Linked DNA regions of Xenopus tropicalis. The protein of the gene in region 5 purifies or fractionates together with the protein of the main gene of each other region. This does not show direct contact. Links are inferred from orthologs where the notes say so. Each region holds a gene or a part of one and is shown on either strand. Other genes may lie near its edges.

What was found.
Region 1: the proteins of vbp1 (region 5) and pfdn5 purify together in Homo sapiens (affinity purification with mass spectrometry; 7 studies listed by BioGRID and IntAct, counting the BioPlex papers as one, with this or other methods). This does not show direct contact. The link is inferred for Xenopus tropicalis from reciprocal best matches to the Homo sapiens genes VBP1 and PFDN5.
Region 2: the proteins of vbp1 (region 5) and pfdn1 purify together in Homo sapiens (affinity purification with mass spectrometry; 4 studies listed by BioGRID and IntAct, counting the BioPlex papers as one, with this or other methods). This does not show direct contact. The link is inferred for Xenopus tropicalis from reciprocal best matches to the Homo sapiens genes VBP1 and PFDN1.
Region 3: the proteins of vbp1 (region 5) and pfdn6 purify together in Homo sapiens (affinity purification with mass spectrometry; 6 studies listed by BioGRID and IntAct, counting the BioPlex papers as one, with this or other methods). This does not show direct contact. The link is inferred for Xenopus tropicalis from reciprocal best matches to the Homo sapiens genes VBP1 and PFDN6.
Region 4: the proteins of vbp1 (region 5) and pfdn2 fractionate together in Homo sapiens (co-fractionation; 8 studies listed by BioGRID and IntAct, counting the BioPlex papers as one, with this or other methods). This does not show direct contact. The link is inferred for Xenopus tropicalis from reciprocal best matches to the Homo sapiens genes VBP1 and PFDN2.

What each region holds. Positions count from the first base shown.
Region 1 is NC_030678.2:147,137,797-147,142,081, forward strand, and holds the start of pfdn5 (prefoldin subunit 5), read right to left. Parts: upstream 2,807-4,285; 5' UTR 2,786-2,806; coding exon 2,714-2,785; intron 2,472-2,713; coding exon 2,369-2,471; intron 2,284-2,368; coding exon 2,252-2,283; intron 1,730-2,251; coding exon 1,655-1,729; intron 1-1,654. UniProt on the Homo sapiens protein: Binds specifically to cytosolic chaperonin (c-CPN) and transfers target proteins to it. Binds to nascent polypeptide chain and promotes folding in an environment in which there are many competing pathways for nonnative proteins.
Region 2 is NC_030679.2:31,788,175-31,792,300, reverse strand, and holds the start of pfdn1 (prefoldin subunit 1), read right to left. Parts: upstream 2,803-4,126; 5' UTR 2,706-2,802; coding exon 2,673-2,705; intron 1,444-2,672; coding exon 1,277-1,443; intron 1-1,276. UniProt on the Homo sapiens protein: Binds specifically to cytosolic chaperonin (c-CPN) and transfers target proteins to it. Binds to nascent polypeptide chain and promotes folding in an environment in which there are many competing pathways for nonnative proteins.
Region 3 is NC_030684.2:72,107,082-72,109,397, forward strand, and holds part of pfdn6 (prefoldin subunit 6), read left to right. Parts: intron 1-184; coding exon 185-248; intron 249-1,503; coding exon 1,504-1,574; intron 1,575-2,316. UniProt on the Homo sapiens protein: Binds specifically to cytosolic chaperonin (c-CPN) and transfers target proteins to it. Binds to nascent polypeptide chain and promotes folding in an environment in which there are many competing pathways for nonnative proteins.
Region 4 is NC_030684.2:143,080,132-143,084,151, reverse strand, and holds the start of pfdn2 (prefoldin subunit 2), read left to right. Parts: upstream 1-1,206; 5' UTR 1,207-1,209; coding exon 1,210-1,248; intron 1,249-2,865; coding exon 2,866-2,954; intron 2,955-3,116; coding exon 3,117-3,240; intron 3,241-4,020. UniProt on the Homo sapiens protein: Binds specifically to cytosolic chaperonin (c-CPN) and transfers target proteins to it. Binds to nascent polypeptide chain and promotes folding in an environment in which there are many competing pathways for nonnative proteins.
Region 5 is NC_030684.2:50,630,698-50,634,698, forward strand, and holds the start of vbp1 (prefoldin subunit 3), read left to right. Parts: upstream 1-1,185; 5' UTR 1,186-1,209; coding exon 1,210-1,287; intron 1,288-3,168; coding exon 3,169-3,293; intron 3,294-3,373; coding exon 3,374-3,440; intron 3,441-4,001. UniProt on the Homo sapiens protein: Binds specifically to cytosolic chaperonin (c-CPN) and transfers target proteins to it. Binds to nascent polypeptide chain and promotes folding in an environment in which there are many competing pathways for nonnative proteins.

The DNA.
Region 1 (4,285 bases), on a different chromosome or scaffold from region 5:
TTTCCGTGTCTATATCAGACATGTATTTTAATGAGAAAAAATCTCTTTCAGACACTATGAGATTTTGTCTGGTTGTATGAAGACACAGCAGGCAAAGTCGACTACCAAAAGGCACATTGCATCTGATGGCAAAGCTTTCATATAGTTTACACATCAGATTTTTCTATCAGTCCCATTATTTTTTAACCATGCAACTACATTCGACAGGATGCGATCTGTCAAACCAACACCATTCTACAAAATCTCATGTGAAGTTCAGCCCTAAGTTATACCAGTGGGTATATGTGCCCTGTAAAGGCAAATAATCACAATATGCCTTCAAAATTAACTAAGCTTTAATCATACCATATATCTTTCCGAATTCATGAATCTCCTTATATTAAAAACTTACACTACAAGTGCCCAGTGATACATTTATCAGAAACAGATACCTACAGATCCTGTCAGCTTAAAGTGCACTGCATTCATTATATTTTGACTGAGTAAAGATGGCCATACACGCACTGATGATACTGTACAAAACCTCGTTTTGTATGATATTTGGTGCGTGTATGGCAGATCGACAAGATGACCGTTATTGCAAAGGCTGCGGATATCGGTTGTCTCATCGCTCAGCCGGGTTAAAAGATTTTGACTGGGCGCCATTGAAGGCGCCCGAACAAAACCTGCGTTCAGGGCTGAACCGGCAGGTGGAGGTAGAATTCCTATTGTTTCTACCTTCACATCCGATGACTCTGAATGTCAGTGGGGGAAACGAACGATCTTTCCTGCAACTCATGGTCGCAGGAAAGATCGGAATTGCTACATGTATGGCCACCTTTAAAAATAAAATAACATCTTATCTTGGTACTCTGAAACCAAAATATGTATATATTATATAATATATATATATATATATATATAGTGGTTACAAAGCACACTGCTGTTAAATTGCTTAGCTTAACATCCTCTGCTGTAGGCCTAACAAATTCCTTGCAGAGAACTGCAGCTGCCTAAGTCTCCCACTTTGCAAGCAGACAGTTTAACAAAAAAATACTTTTTCTGGGGTAAAAGCACATAGGCCCAGGTTCACTAATATATATAATATATAATAAATATAAGTGCTTCAAGTTATTTTTTCAGTTATAATAAGTGCCATCACTTCTAGAGGTAAATTTCTCTGAGTGATATCAGCACCAAATTACCTCTAGAAGTGATATGGCTACATTGTTGTGAATGTATTGTGGTATGATATTAAAGGGCAACTAAGTAAGCAAGTGTGGATTATTATTTACCTATACAGGGCTTATGCATATGTACAGCAGCTTTACACAAGTAGTCAAATTTCCCTATTGCTGCTTTTCGCTTTCCTACTGGTCTAGCCAATGGTCTCTTGGGCAAAACTTGCACAAGTTCTGCCAATCTTAACTGCGAGAATAACCTGTGCATGTTCCAGAACACGCTAAATTTTAAAAAATAAAAATAAACCAGTTGCTTTTAATTCAACCAATAAAAATTAAATCTGTTTGTCACACCAGATGGTTTGAAGAGTAGCAATAATGTGTTATGTATAGTTAGAAATATACTAACAAACTTTTGCGCAAGAAAATGTTAACAGTAGGTTGCTCATCACAGTCACACCTTAAGCTAAAAAACAAACAAAAAAGTAGCTCACCTTTTCCACATAATATCCAGTACCCACATCGATCAGTATATTTGACACATCATTAAGAGTCCCAGGCACATACATCTACATGAAAGGTTAAGGGGGAAAAAACCCACACACCTACTGTTCTTCTTTAAACACTGTTGTGCAAATACTGGTTTTCTATTTTTTTTTGCTCATTAAAAGGGGAGTTCACCTTTAAGATAACTTTTGGTACATTGTACAATGGCCTATAATATTAGCAACTTTTCAATTGGTCTATATTTTGTATAGCCTGACTGACTGTATACAGTACATTTTTGTCCAAGTACCCAGGAAAAACACACCGTGCTGCTATTCTTGACATGTTTTTCCTACACTATAACAACCATCATCACACTCTTTTAAGCAGTCACCTAAGCAGTTTAGCCATTTAGTGTTTAAACTTTGGATAAAAATGCATTACTGTTTAGTAGATTTTTGACACTTAGCTTGCTACAGACTTACAACGTTCCTTACATTAATAATATAATAAACAAATAGAAGAGAACATACTTTAAAACTGGAAGCAGCTCACTGGTTTTGCCACCATATGGCTTTTTCATAATATAGTGATGAAAAGGATACAGAGCTGGTCAGGGGAACAAGCAGTTGCTTCCCTGTCAGATAAACACATACAGGTTATTAGAGAGAGGAACTAAGCCGACTGACACACCCTACTAACTGGCTGCCGCTGTCACTCACCTTCATTGCTTTTGTTCAGCACACTCAGGCACTCCTTTGCCTCCACATACTTGGTCTGAACCACCTTTAGCTGAGCGATGGAGGAGGACAGGAACTCCACTTCCTATGAAAGGAAAAGGCACATAAGGAAGGCCTTACTAACCCTGTAACCCCGGAGTATGAGCAACACCAGGCTGGGGCGGGACAGCAAAAGCTGCAGTGGGACTCTGGGAGTAAGGGATCCACAGCCACGGGGTGGCCAGAACTCATCCAAGCCAGTTGTGGGACACTACGTTTAGTCGTGGGGAAAAACCAACACAGAGGCATCCCCAATTTAAGACGGCAATGTAAGATTAACTAAGATACCTGGTCCAACTGACTTTTCAATCCCTCCAACTGCGGCAGAGACAAGTCGGTAATGTTCACTGTCTGCGCCATCTTGAGAGAGGAAGAACCCCGCCTTCCTACTACATTACTATAGTGACTGTCTAGCTGGGAAACCGTATATTGTTTGGCGCTCTGTACGCACGGCTAGCGCTCTATGATAGTCCGGAGGCTGCGACGCATGCGTACTAACATGTAAGGGACCGTGTACTTGGCAGATGGTCCGCTTGCTAACATGATATTTATAAATAAGTCAAATCGCAGAAATATATATATATTTTTTTTAGATTTTCTTTTTCTTATTTTGCAAAGAGAGGAATAAGTGCAAAAGTACACAAAATGCTATTGTTACATTAAACTACCTCATTTCTACCAGTAACATGGTATTTCAACAATCAATAGAGAAGAAAGAATAGAGGAACATATAGAGTAGGAAACAAACAGTAGGAAACGGAAGAAGAGAGACCCCCCCATAACAATATAATATTTTAAGAATCTATGCAGTAGGTTAAGCACTGTTTTTTAAGAAATTTTGAAATTCACTAAAAATTTACATTTTGCAGTCATGTATCACACATTCTTGTGTACAAAGAAAGATTAGCCATAATATGAATGCTCATACATGAAAATAGTACACATTAAAGTTCTACAGGCAAAAGCAAGTCATCAGGACAATGCAAAATGTAGTCACAAAAAAAATACTTTAACTTGACTTGCTGTTGTAGTGTCATCAGTCCCAGACAGTGTTGCATTTCTTAAAAAATACATAAAAATAAATACAAAGTAATGCCTTTTTGGTCTTTAGGCAAGTGAGGAGGAGGGAGCAGAATTTGTTTGGTTAGTTGGTGGATTTAGTTATTCCAAAAGAGAGTTTTCCACCCAACATTTAGTAAACCCGAATGGGGCTAATTGTTTGTGTTGTTTTCCCATTGACAAATGTGTCTAGGTATTTGTTCCAAACGCTATAGAACAGTGATCCTCTTGATTATTAATCTTGAAGAGCTAAGACCCACTGAAGTTGCACAGTATGTAGAAGCTTATGTTCTCGTAATTGCTTTGATGGGGGTTGTGTTGCTGTCCAACATTACGGGATTGATTTGACTGCTTTTAATACAAGTATTTCTGCCAGTCTAAGGTTACCTTTCTTAGCTTTATTGATGGGCTTCGGTATGACCCTAGAAGTATCTGTGGGTTACTGGAATGTTGCATAGCATATTAATTTGTGTTAAATCCTCTTCTTAAAAGGCATCTATTGCAGTGAAAGTTCATAGGACATGTTCTAAACTGCCTTCCACATGGGGGCAGCATTGCATTTCTTTTTGCATCTCCTTTTCAGAGTTGACATGCTTCAAAATACTGATTGTAGAATATGTAGAATATGTTGGCACTTAATAAATAAATGTTATTAATAATACTGCTCTCTTCACCAGTACTTCTGCCAGAGATATTCTTTGGTCTCCCCACAGGCACCATGATAGCATTTCACCTGCTAGACTCACACCCCTCTCAATGGGAAATAAAGTACTTTGCTGCAGCTACATCTACAAACAGAAT
Region 2 (4,126 bases), on a different chromosome or scaffold from region 5:
AGGAGCTTAAATCAATGACAGGCGAATTTAGAACTTTGCCCCCCCCCCCCCCCAGCTCGCACTGCTCCGTGCCCACCCCTCCTGTAACGAGCGCACACTGACTGGAAGAGTAAGCGACGGCTATACTGCACCCACTCCCCCCCCGAGCGAGTGCAAAATAGCGGCTGCTCTCTCTGACTTCTGGCAGTTCTCCCAGTCAACTGGGGCCCGAAGTAAGGGGAAACAGACAAACAAAAGAGTTCTGTGCCCTAGGCTGGTGCTTGACTTAAATCTGCCTATGTATGGCCTATTCCAATGAAGTTGCTGTTCAGAACCCTCTGTAGAGGGCTATTGCACAAGTGCATTCAAGCGCATTCAACTAAATTTTAATATATATGGACTTCCCAGCTGCAGATAAGCATGTTCCCTGAGATCAATGGATTACCTAAACTATAAAGTTCCACTTATACTAGTGACTATAACGCCCTCCTAAATGTAGACTTTCTGTTCTAAAGGCATACGGAACATTTAAAGCATCTGAAATACTAATGCATTTTTTTTGGCCTTTAATGCTTTCCACCTTTAGAAATGTGTTAATATTGAATCATTCGCCTATGAATAAGTACTTTCTATTCTCCACAGCAATGGTTATGTAAGAAAACCAAAAAGTTCTTGGTTTTTAACAATAGCCAGTCTATAAATACAGTCATTGGCACAGTCAAATGGGGATTACATAGGAACACAGTTAACGATTTTCAGTATGTGCGTGGCAGCCTATATCCATGTACTTTGATTGGTTTGTCATTTGGGTGGGTATAAATATGTAACCTGCTAAGAACCCATTACAGCCTGTGTATGGAAGATGAGGAACTGTTCCCTTCATTCCCTATGAATACAAGGAACAACAGAAAGGCATCCATAGAGTATATGGTCCCTTGTATTTTTTCTGTCTTTTGGCCCTCGAAGGGATCGGTAGGTCTGTGCAGTGTCTGACTGGCCCACCAGGATACAAGGAAAACTCCCGGTGGCCCAAGTGTCAGTGGGCCCTCCTGCTCACCCAACCATTTGCCTTGTATGCGTATACCATGGCCATTACTCAATCCTATATGAAAAGAAACTGAAGAAATGGAGGAAAGGATAGATAATATTATGTAAAACTGCGTAATTAAGAGATTAAAGAAATTGAGTGAACAGAGAAGGGGAGAGTGGGCCGAAGGTCTACTTTTCTTTACAATTTACACTTAAAAAGACAAGTTAATGCATGACTGTATGATTAAAGCAAAACAGCATTACTTACATTCTTCCTACTCCTTCATACATAGGCGTTGAATCAGACAGGTTCATAATTTCTGCATTGGTAAGATATGCATGCTTCTTTGTTCTATTTAGCTGCTCAATTTGTAGATCTGCAAGTTTAACTTTCTGCTGGGTATCAATAACTTTGGCTTGAAGCTCTGTGAAAGCCTGCAATACAAAACATGGTTTTAAACAATTTGTATCTAAGTGCTGTCCTCGCTAATGCTTTCTAGCCACTGCCAATCTCTACATCTGAGTTTCACCCAAGATTGTGTAAGCAGGTAATATTTTTAATATTTTAGAAACTATCCAGTTTTTAAACTACTCTGCTTGTAAAAGTGCATCCTTTGCAAATGTCAGTCAAGCAGTCTCACATTACTCATAAACAGGCTGATATGTTGTCAACTTGGTCTGAATGGGCCCCTGTATGGCCCACTTGAGGGCCTATTTTTCTAAAAACCCAGCGAGAAGCTCAGTTAGAGAGAAATTTGGTGTGAAAATGGGTATTCCGGGAGCCCTTCCTGAATAGCTGATACAACATTTCCATACACCTTGTTATGAACTAACTGGGCTCCAAGGTGGGCTTGAACTGAAAAAGTCTGTCAAGCAAACCACAGATGTAGGACACAGGGGCATGTTTAGTAAGATTGGAGATAAATATCACTGGCTATGTTGCCCATAGCAACCAATCAGGAATTAGATTTGAACAGTCACCTACAAGTTAGAAATGAAAATCAAATATCTGATTGGTTGCTATGGGCAACATCACCAGTGATATTTATCTCCAATCTTACTAAACACTTAAGCCCCCAAATTTTAGGTGTAAGCAAAGATTTAACAGCAATGTTTTTGCGTTCTAAAGACTGTTTTAATTGCAAATAAACAATGCACTGGGAGATAGTGCCTTCCAAAAGGATGAATCTTACATTAATAGTAAATATACTTTATTAAATTTCCCTTCTTTATGTATTTGGAAAAAAACAAGTGTTCGTTTATAGAACTATGGGTTTATAGAGTGTGAGTATGTATGTATGTATGTATGTGTGTGTATGTATATGTATATGTATATGTATATATATGTATATATATATATATATATATATATATATATATATATATATATATATATATATATATATATATACACACACACAAATCAAATGATATCAAAATTCTTTACTACAAATACAGTTCCCTACTAGAAATACAAAAACGACTACATTCGCATTCCACCGAGCGTATGCACTAGCTGCCTGGCCGCACTCCAGCCAAAAGCACATTCATCCTGCAGGCACCGTGAATTCACCAGCATCTGAATTCTTATATAAACATACACTTACATGAAAACACGTACATGATAAAAATCATTAGTATAAATGAAATACAATTATTATTACCTTCTTCAGCTCTAGATCCACAGGGGTAGCCATATTAAAGCCGGGCACATGCGCAACGCGGCGGCGAGGAAACCATACGCTATACCGCCGTCATCGCAAGCAGCCTTGTGATTGGCTCTTGGTGCTTTACTGGCAATTCCAATTGGCAGCTGCTAAGGTGAAGCTGGGCGCATTGGTGGGCGTTCTTGGGAAACGCCCAGCGTATAGTTGCTGGAGGATTGGTTGAGTTGTGGCTTAGCAGCGAGAGCTCTTACTGTTTAAAGATATTTGAGCCATGGTTGCTAGTAGTTTGTTTTGCCACAGAAGTTATGTTTTGTGTAGAGTGAACCAAGGGTGTAACGTGTGATGTAACATATAAACAAATATGTGTGCGTGATTTACACACAACGTGTTAAACCGGCAGTGACACAGTGGCTGGGGAGTTATATGTAGAAATATATGGGGAAGGGTTGTAATTCGATTCGCACCCAATAGGATTGTTATGAGTTTCTAGACTGTTTATCCCATATGTTTCTGGAATCTTGAATTAGACTGTATTTTGTAAGCAGTTACAAACGCCATAAATTGAAATCATGGCTGAAAATGGGGCAACGTTAAAGAAATATTTCTTATTTTGGGAGATAGTTCTAAAAGCCCAGCCTGAAGGTGATCTTGCTCAGACAAGATCCCCTGTGCATGATTTAGCTCATGGGTGCATGGGCCATATTTATGTAGGGCAGCGCTAGGGGTGCCTATATTAAAAAGAAAAAAAGTGTAGCTGTATACGAGGGGGGCGAGGTCAGAAGTCTGGTGCTTACGGCTGCACTGGACAGCCCTAGCAGCTGGTAAAACACTAAAGATGACCACTGAATGGACTAACACAGGAATCACTTGTCAGTGCACTTGGGGGTTGACACCTGTCTAGTTTTGAACTAAACAGCCACTTTTTCCCTAGGGCCATAAACATAATTGGCACCCATGTAGGCCTCATCAACATGCCAGTGGGATTTTTAGGGCACTGCCACACAGCAGATTCTCGGCCTGCAAGTTAACTGCAGAATCTGCCCCATACAGCAGTGCCCTTAAACCAATTTCTTCTTGGCAGGGTACACAAATAATTTCTTTTGTGCACACTTTTTAACAAAGAAGTAGGGCTGAAATTTTGTGAATTATGTTATGGGTTTCTGTACCAGCCCAAGGCACAAACAGCCCTTTTGCAGGGAAGATCTGTGCCCCCAAAGATGCCCTCCAGTAGCCCCCCCCCCATCTTCTTTTCTGCTGATTCCCTGCACATGCTCTGTGTTGCAGTCACTTACTTGAGCTTAGGGACCCACTCACAATATACTGTATATACAGAATATAAATGTAACAGTGAAAGGCTGATTAGTAATTCATTTACATTACATGACAGATCTGAAACCAGGGCAATTGCATCAAAATTGAATAATTAGCCCTGTAGCATCAGTTTATATGAA
Region 3 (2,316 bases), about 21 Mb from region 5:
CAGGGAATATTACATAATATAATATTCACTTGCTTTGGTGTTACTGTACCTTTAACAACACAACTGATATTTAACATGACTGAATTGGTAAATGTTTTCCCTGGACTGGTCATAATTTTTTCATATTTAACAGTTTCTATATATTTGTGTGTGCTGACAGTCTAAGTATGTTATTTATAAACAGATGGCGGAACAGTTACAAGAGAAGTTACAATCCGAGATCAACAAATACCAACAGCTCCAGAAAGGTACGTATTATACTTCTATATCATCTCTCTCGTCTCTTGTTGGCTCTGTGCCTTTGTGCAGCAGATAATAATCATTCGTTTCTTAATTGATAAATGCATCACAATGATAGTTCTAATAGTGATGTTACTGATGTGCATGTGGAACAGAAGTAATTTGGTTGCTCTTTTGCTGAAGTATAAGAATTTTTTGGAGGGGAAAGAATATCTTTGAGATATGCGGTTTCTGTCTTAAGCAGGTGTTGAGCTGGCTCCCCTGCACAGGCCCAGAGTCTGGGGGATGGATGGCTTGGAGGTCAGTTAAAGGAGACATATTGGATAAATGGAAAAAACACTAATTTTGTAGGCAATTATGAATACTATATGGTGCTGGTTTCCCTTTGGGCTAAATTTGAATACTGTCTGCAAAAATGGCCCCTTTATTGGAGCTTCCTATCCTCTCTGTCAATGTTGACGGGTGGGCGTGTCCTAAAAGTCCCTACCAGAAGCACAGTAGGAGGGGGATAGCCAATCACAGCCCTGCAGTCATGCAAGCAAAGTCAGGCTTCAGTTCAATATCAGGTCAGCCTAGCTGGCAGGAGTGCCACTGGCTCCAGAGAATTCAGCCAGCAGGAAGTGGAACAGATGGGCGGGGTTAGTGGGGTTTGGGGGAATTTTCTCAATAAATCAGTCTGAAACACATCTTTTTTTAAGCACAATCCTTCTATTTCTAGAGGAGTATAATTCACTGGTACATTCTTAATTTTTATATGATATGTCTCGTTTAAGGTGAGATTTGGGGAGAATGTCAATTTGATATCATTGATACTGCTGGAAGCTCAGTCAGGAAAGTCAGTGTTACTTGAAATAAAACTTGCAAGATGTTTTTGGGCCCATGATTGAATGAAAGATACAGCAATATATTCATATATCTATAAGCTTGCTGTTAGCTAAGGAGGAACATTTGGAAAGTTCCAAAAGGTACACATATATAATAGGACCAGTAACAGCAAAAATCACTGTTTTAAATATAATTGAAATATAATGTACCCTGCACTGGTAGTGTTCAGAAATGATAATACAGTTTATATAAAAAATCTGCTGTCTTCCTACAGGGGCAATTTTTTTTTTATGTATGCTGGATGAACAGATATAAACTTTAAATGTTAAAAAAAATTATAAACTTTCACTTTTTGATGTTACTTGTCCTTGAATTTTTTTTTATAGCTTTTTGTGTTTTATTGGCTGGTATTATTCTGTCATGCTTCTCTTTCTTTAGAGATCAGCAATACTATGTCAGCCAGGCAGAAGCTTGAGGCTCAGTTGACTGAGAACAACATTGTCAAACAGGTGAGTTTGAGGTAGGGGGGAACATAGTTAGCAAATGAATGCCAATATGTATATGCAAGCACTTGTACAAGAGCAATATAAACTCGCCACATACCTCAGAGTTACATGACCCTTACAAAAGGACTCTGCATGCGTTCTTTTAATTATAAAGTAGGGATGCACCAAATACAGCATTTGGTTTAGGGTTTGGCCAAGATTCAGATCAGGCTAAACCGACGTGAACTGGCACATGCCTGGGTGAACTGAATGCAAATTCTTAAAATTGCGTGACTTTTTGTCATCCCACTGAGACAATACCAGTCTTTCCTAATTTAGCAAAGAAACACTTCTTGAGGGACCATAATCCAATTTGTGCAGACATCTGTAATGTACTTAAGTCAATCAGGTAACTTACAAGGGTAGGTGTGATACAGGTAATAAGCTTCAACTGATAATTTTCCTACAAGGGGAGCAAATGAGCAGGGACAAATGTATTAAATGTGTAAAAATGTGTTAATCCTAATGTTTACCTGGTCTGAATTCTACACATGAAAAATAGAAACAAAAATAATTTGTGTATATATTTAGTATAATTATTTTATTATTAATGCTAACTGCTTATTTATATTATTTGACTGCACCCATCACATACAGCATATTTATAGTTTAGAGAGAATACAGCCACATCAAGCAAAGTTATTGTTGGTGGAATCAGTTTTTGCTATTTGATATCTTACGCCTCCCCAAAAGCCATGTCAGACAA
Region 4 (4,020 bases), about 92 Mb from region 5:
AATAACAATAAACTGGAGCCTCACAGAGCAATAGGGTTTGGCTGCCAGGGTCAGTTATACTGTTGCTAGGGCTCAAATTACCTTAGCAACCAGGGAGTGATTTGAATGAGAGGCGGGTATATGAATAGGGGAGGGGCTGAATAGAGAGATAAGGAATAAAAAGTAACAATAACAATAAAACTGGAGCCTCACAGAGCAATAGGGTTTGGCTGCCGGGGTCAGTTATACTGTTGCTAGGGCTCAAATTACCTTAGCAACCAGGGAGTGATTTGAATGAGAGGCGGGTATATAAATAGGGGAGGGGCTGAATAGAAAGATAAGGAATAAAAAGTAACAATAAAACTGGAGCCTCAAAGAGCAATAGGGTTTGGCTGCCGGGGTCAGTTATACTGTTGCTAGGGCTCAAATTACCTTAGCAACCAGGGAGTGATTTGAATGAGAGGCGGGTATATAAATAGGGGAGGGGCTGAATAGAAAGATAAGGAATAAAAAGTAACAATAACAATAAAACTGGAGCCTCACAGAGCAATAGGGTTTGGCTGCCGGGGTCAGTGACCCCCATTTGAAAGCTGCAAAGAGGCAGAAGAAGAATTTATTTAAAAACTATAAAGAAATAAATGGGAAACAGGATTGGGAGATTTAGTCCAAGACACTAAGTGCTAAGACTTTACTTTCCCTTTAATCTCTTTACCAAGATAGGGAATGAGCTGGGAACCCCAAGATGAACCCCATTTGACTTGTTATTCTCTAGTGTAGTTATATATGTTTATTTAACCTGCATCTGGGCAGAGAAACCCCAGAAATGGTGGCTGACCAATAACAGGCGCACTAGGGAGTAGTCACATGACAACAGGAGGCTAACGTCAGCTCCCCGGGCTTTGGCTGAGCATTCTGGGATCTGTAGTTTAGAGACTTCCGGACACCCCATTAGCCAATCGCATTACGCAGCCCCCCCGCACGGGCTATAAAGAAGCGGCGATATATCTGACACACACACTTTCCCAGGAGGCCTCAGCTGTCACAATGTGTTGACGTCACTTACTACGGCCCGACTATGACGCGGCTTATGCGCCCCACCAACCAGGCGCTTCCAGTCATGCTTTTCCCTCTCTCAACATGGCGCCGCCAGGACTTCCCGGGCGGAAGTGGCGTCGGAACGCATAGACTTCCGCTGCGCGGAGAAGGTGCGCAGTGCGAGAGAGAAGCGTGATGGCGTCTAATGCAGCGAAGCAGGTGGCGGCCGAGCAGGTACTGGGCATGGTGGGCATAATGGCTGCTGGGGGGTCTGCCCGGCCGGTACCCCCCCCCCCCAACCGGCCGTTTAAAGGGCAACTAAGCCCAAAGCCCTTTTTTCATTATGGCCATTCATTCCCTTATATAGACACATGTGCTATTATAAGCTCAGTGGGAACAGGCTTCCTTGGGCATTTACTCAGATTCATTCCCTATTGGGATCCCTGATAGCCTTCCCACAGCAGCCCAGGAGCAGCCGGCTCTTCTGCTTCCTAGAAACTGTTGCTAGCCAGCTTGGTAGCAGTGTTGCTATGGTACTGAGCTGTTAGTGATATCCCATAATCCCTCAGTTGGAAGGGGGTTCAACAATGGGACTGGGGCACCTTAGTGTTTTATTATTACAGAGAAAAGGGAATCATTTAACCATTAAATAAACCCAATAGGGCTGTTCTGCCCCAATAAGGGGTAATTATATCTTAGTTGGGATCAAGTACAGGTACTGTTTTATTATTACAGAGAAAAGGGAATCATTTAACCATTAAATAAACCCAATAGGGCTGTTCTGCCCCAATAAGGGGTAATTATATCTTAGTTGGGATCAAGTACAGGTACTGTTTTATTATTACAGAGAAAAGGGAATCATTTAACCATGAAATAAACCCAATAGGGCTGTTCTGCCCCCAATAAGGGGTAATTATATCTTAGTTGGGATCAAGTACAGGTACTGTTTTATTATTACAGAGAAAAGGGAATCATTTAACCATTAAATAAACCCAATAGGGCTGTTCTGCCCCAATAAGGGGTAATTATATCTTAGTTGGGATCAAGTACAGGTACTGTTTTATTATTACAGAGAAAAGGGAATCATTTAACCATGAAATAAACCCAATAGGGCTGTTCTGCCCCAATAAGGGGTAATTATATCTTAGTTGGGATCAAGTACAGGTACTGTTTTATTATTACAGAGAAAAGGGAATCATTTAACCATTAAATAAACCCAATAGGGCTGTTCTGCCCCCAATAAGGGGTAATTATATCTTAGTTGGGATCAAGTACAGGTACTGTTTTATTATTACAGAGAAAAGGGAATCATTTAACCATTAAATAAACCCAATAGGGCTGTTCTGCCCCCAATAAGGGGTAATTATATCTAAGTTGGGATCAAGTACAGGTACTGTTTTATTATTACAGAGAAAAGGGAATTGTTTAACCATTAAATAAACCCAATAGGGCTGTTCTGCCCCAATAAGGGGTAATTATATCTTAGTTGGGATCAAGTACAGGTACTGTTTTATTATTACAGAGAAAAGGGAATCATTTAACCATGAAATAAACCCAATAGGGCTGTTCTGCCCCCAATAAGGGGTAATTATATCTTAGTTGGGATCAAGTACAGGTACTGTTTTATTATTACAGAGAAAAGGGAAATAACTTTTTAACGTGATTAAAAAAGAAGTCTATGGAACATTATGGATAAAGGGTTTCTGGATATTGGACCCCATAGGCCCCTGTAAGAAGATGAGCCAATGCTGGGCTGATCTGTTTGCCCACATTGTTTAAGAGTTGCCATTAAAGGGAAAGTTAAGCCAAATACCCTTGTTTAATATGTACGTTCTGTGTTTGTTGCTACAGGTGGTGGCTGGATTTAATCGCCTGCGCCAGGAGCAGCGAGGTCTCGCGTCCAAGGCAGCGGAACTGGAGATGGAGCTTAACGAACACACGTGAGTCTCATTAGCAAACAGGTCGTTCAGCAATGAAGAATCCTTCAATGTGATTCTCCCCGAGGGTCGTTATTCCTCTCTGTTGCACGCTACATTTGTTCTGTAGTCGGAACCAGTGCAGATCTCCCTAACTAACTGACAGTCGTCTCCCTCGCTCCGCAGGTTGGTTATCGACACCCTGAAGGAAGTGGAGCAGGGCAGGAAGTGTTTCCGGATGGTCGGGGGGGTACTGGTGGAACGCACCGTGAAGGAAGTGCTTCCGGCTTTGGAGAATAATAAAGAGCAGGTAAGGCTCTGCCTTGTGGGCACCTAATTAAAGGGCATATTAACCTTTATTGGGGGCAGAACAGCCCTATTGGGTTTATTTAATGGTTAAATGATTCCCTTTTCTCTGTAATAATAAAACAGTACCTGTACTTGATCCCAACTAAGATATAATTACCCCTTATTGGGGCAGAACAGTCCTATTGGGTTTATTTAATGGTTAAATGATTCCCTTTTCTCTGTAATAATAAAACAGTACCTGTACTTGATCCCAACTAAGATATAATTACCCCTTATTGGGGGCAGAACAGCCCTATTGGGTTTATTTCATGGTTAAATGATTCCCTTTTCTCTGTAATAATAAAACAGTACCTGTACTTGATCCCAACTAAGATATAATTACCCCTTATTGGGGCAGAACAGCCCTATTGGGTTTAATGGTTAAATGATTCCCTTTTCTCTGTAATAATAAAACAGTACCTGTACTTGATCCCAACTAAGATATAATTACCCCTTATTGGGGCAGAACAGCCCTATTGGGTTTATTTCATGGTTAAATGATTCCCTTTTCTCTGTAATAATAAAACAGTACCTGTACTTGATCCCAACTAAGATATAATTACCCCTTATTGGGGCAGAACAGCCCTATTGGGTTTATTTCATGGTTAAATGATTCCCTTTTCTCTGTAATAATAAAACAGTACCTGTACTTGATCCCAACTAAGATATAATTACCCCTTATTGGGGGCAGAACAGCCCTATTGGGTTTATTTAATGGTTAAATGATTCCCTTTTCTCTGTA
Region 5 (4,001 bases):
ATATAATAACCTTTCTAATGTTTTATTTACCAGTAGGTCCTTCCAACGGACACGAGGGCACCCACTTCGTTTAGAAGAAGGGAGGTTCCATTTAAATATTCGGAAAGGATTTTTTACTGTGAGAGCTGTGAAGTTCTGGAATTCCCTCCCCAAATCAGTTGTGCTGGCTGATACATTATATAACTTTAAGAAGGGGCTGGATGGATTCTTAGCAAGTGAGGGAATACAGGGTTATGGGGGATAGCTCTCAGTACTAGATGATCCAGGGACTGGTCCGATTGCCATCTTGGAGTCAGGAAGGAATTTTTTCCCCTCTGCGGCAAATTAGAGAGGCTTCAGATGGGGTTTTTTGCCTTCCTCAGATGGGGTTTTTTGCCTGTGCTAAAACACATGTAGAGACAATTATTAGTAAATGATCAGCATTGTCTATTTCTGTAGCTGCTACTAGTAGCTCTGTGTGTCTTCGCCTTAGTACTGGGGCAGAGGTCCTCTCTCCACCAGATCAGTGATGTGGATTTGGGCTCTACACCCTGGTGCAACAGTTTAGTTTAACCACATCCTCACTCTGTGTTCACCTGTGACCTGTTGTCTGACTCAAACACACATACATTTGAATTTCTGCTGACGAGTCTGCCAATTGGATAAGCAACACACATTTTACTACCTTGAGGCACAGTTTACTTGCTCTTTAGGACCCGACTGCAACTTTATTTCCAGTATTTTCAATATCATATTGGTTTGTTTATGTAAAGCTAATGTGCCTGAGATGACCACAACACATAAAAAATACGACAGGGAAAGCGAATGGCCAGCAGGCATAAAGCAGACGCATGCAGCATGGGGTAATCAGAGGACAATACTAAATTTCTCTCAAGAAAATGGTTGTTTTTAGTTTTCTTTTTTTACAATGGATATTTATCGGAATGTTGCGTTTCTACATTTTTCACTGGGAGTGCTGCCCAAAAGTGTTTGACCCAGTAGCTGCTAGTTACGCTAGTGCCAGCATGCTACCTCGGTTAGAATCAGAGGAAGCACTGTCAGGCCTTTGCCTCCCCAGTCTGCGCACAATTAACCCACAAGACCAAACTAGGAGATCATCTCTCGCTGTCAGAGCGCAGCAGCCTATCAGTACCTTTGGGGGCGTGGCCATTCTGGAAGCGAACCCATAGCATTAAAACGTGTTGACGCAAGGTACGCACTGCTTCCAAGATGGCGGTGACCAGTGAGGGAGCCGGTGTTGCTGGACTGAAACGGACTCATTTGGGAATTCCGGAGGCAGTGTTTGTGGTAAGGGCTAAAAGAGCAATTAACTGGTGCCAAGGCTTGTGCTACAAAACGACTTGTGTGTTGTCCCTGCTGGTAGCGTTATAGTGTTTGTGTGAGTGTAGGCCAGCTCTGGGCCACTGTCCGCATGGTTATCTAGGCGTGTTCCTTTCACAAAGCTTGACTCTATATGGAGCCTGGTTACTGCGTTACTATGCCCGACCTGTGACATGCGTAACTACATTTGTTGGCAGATTTCTTTTGCGGGCCGTTTCTATGGGCTCCGTGCCTGTGAGTTGCACACCTTCATTTCTTTAGGTTATAGAGTGGTTTCACTATGGTATAATTGGCCCTAGTATAGTTCTATGTATGTGTATTTTTATAGCACTACTTTCAAGTGCAGGGCTAAACAGTAAATTCCGAGACCAGAAGTGGAGCAATACAGTTTATAGAAAAGAAAGAAATAATGCAGTTATATGTAAGGCCAGGGATGCTGTCTGACATTGCAGGGACCAATATTCAGGGCTGGCCTTTTGGACCTATTGGGCCCTGCACCAGTGGGAATAAGTATATAAAGCAGTTGGTGAGCAACATCCAAGGGGTTGGGGAGCAACATGTTGCTCAGGAGCCACTGGTTGGGGATCACTGCCATAGACTGTCACTATGTAGTGGGCTGGTGGGGGCTGTTTGGGCCTCTGTGTCCTAGAAATGCCAGGGCCTATTTTGAATCCCAGTACAGTCCTGGTCATAAGACCCCCTAGAACCAATATAATGACCAATATGCATTGATATACCAAAGTATGTGGCATCCACGAAGAGTCTTTCACTGTGTAGTGTGTGCTTGAGGGGCCAATAATCACTCAAACTGTATATAGAATGCTTGGTGTTTCAGTGCCTAGTGCTTGGGGGCCACAGTGTGCCATGATTTGTTGGGGGCCAATGTAACGAGAAAGAAAGGTGATAGGGCAGGGTTACATCATCAGTTACATGGACAGAGAGAAAGAGAATCTTGGAATCTTGTGCCAGCTGGCAACACCTTGTGTAGGGGGCCTGCCAAAATGGTCTTAATTGGGTCCTGTTTATAAAACCGACCCTGCCAATACAACTAAGTTAGTAGGGTTCCACCCCTTCCCCCAAAGGGGCCTGGGTCCTTAGCTGTCTGCCTAACCAAGAAGTGGTTTAAAAATAAATAAAAACTCATCTATATAAGTAATGTCTTGTCCATGCTCTAGATATCCCTGGGCTATGCCGTTATTTAACATAACGTCCCTGGCCCTCTTTGTTGCTCTGTTGCATTTACTTCTCACTTTTGTGTTTCCGAGCCGCCATCATGACAAGGCCCTTAGTGTACCCCTTATTTAGCATTGAGACAAAAGGAAGAGGGTCTCTGTGCCCTAGAGCTTACTGTTTAAATGTGGGAGATAAATTGAACAAAATGTGTTATTCTAGCTCTCAGTATAAATATAAACTTATCAATGTTCTTCCTGTAAATTATAGAAAGATTGGCAAAGGATTATTTTTGTATGGTGCACATACAGGTCTGTATAGGAAATCTTCTTATCAATGAGTGACACCAACTGTGCACTGTACAAATTAGTGGACATATTATCATGATATGTTTGTAAAACAGGGTCTATCAAAATAATGTAATATGCCCGCAGTCTATGGAGACCATAAGCAGGGACTACAAATATTTAGCCGGCTGCTAATAGTTAGATAATCTTCTAGAAAATCGGTAAGTAAAAGGGTTATCCACAAGTAGTGGTATAGGACAGAGACTGTGCCCCAGAACAGATGGCCCATACCTTGTTTAAAGACTGTTTTGGATTGCAGTTTTATCATTGCACTACTGGTGGTCAATTATAAGGAGCCTATATGTGATGCTGAAATGTTTGCTTTCAATAGGAAGATGTAGATGCTTTTATGAAGAAACCTGGAAATGAGACAGCAGATGCAGTACTCAAGAAACTGGATGAGCAGTATCAGAAATATAAATTTATGGAACTTAATTTGACCCAGAAAAAAAGAAGGTATGTTGGTGGCTTGCTCTTTCTAATATGCCAGTATCATTTTGTATAAGAAACCTAACAATTTATTTTGTCTTTTTCAGGCTAAAGAGCCAGATTCCAGAAATTAAGCAGACCTTAGAAATTTTAAAACACATGCAGAAGAAAAAGGTAATGCATTAAAAGCCAAAGAACAGCTTTTAATTTATTGCATATGGTTGATGCATATTTTTCCACATTAAGTAGCTCTGCACACTAAAATTTCTCTCATTACCTTCAGAAGTACAGTGGACTTAAAAGGGTTGTTCACTTTTGAGTTAACTTTTATCATGACGTAGAGAGTAATATTCTGAAACAACTTGCAATTGGTCTTTATTTTTTATTTGTATTTTTATTCCACTTTCTATATATTAGTGTGCCCAATAATGCTGATCTTTATAGCTTTTAAGCAACTGGTCATGTTCTCCTGCCTCCTTACATGTGACCCCTTGCTTCCCTTCCCTGTACACTTGACTTGAGTGGGTAATTTGCAGTTCAGCTTTACAGGTTGCTCTTCATATTGCCTAATTCTTTCCTCCTTTTCTGCATATTGCTCTACAGTAGATTCTCTCTGACAATGTTTCTGAATAGTTTTTAATTGTGTAAAAAACTTTGTGTTTATTGATGCACGGTTGGTGGGTGATTACTGCCCAAACATTGATGTCATCGGCTGCACTTGGGCGCCAATTTAGG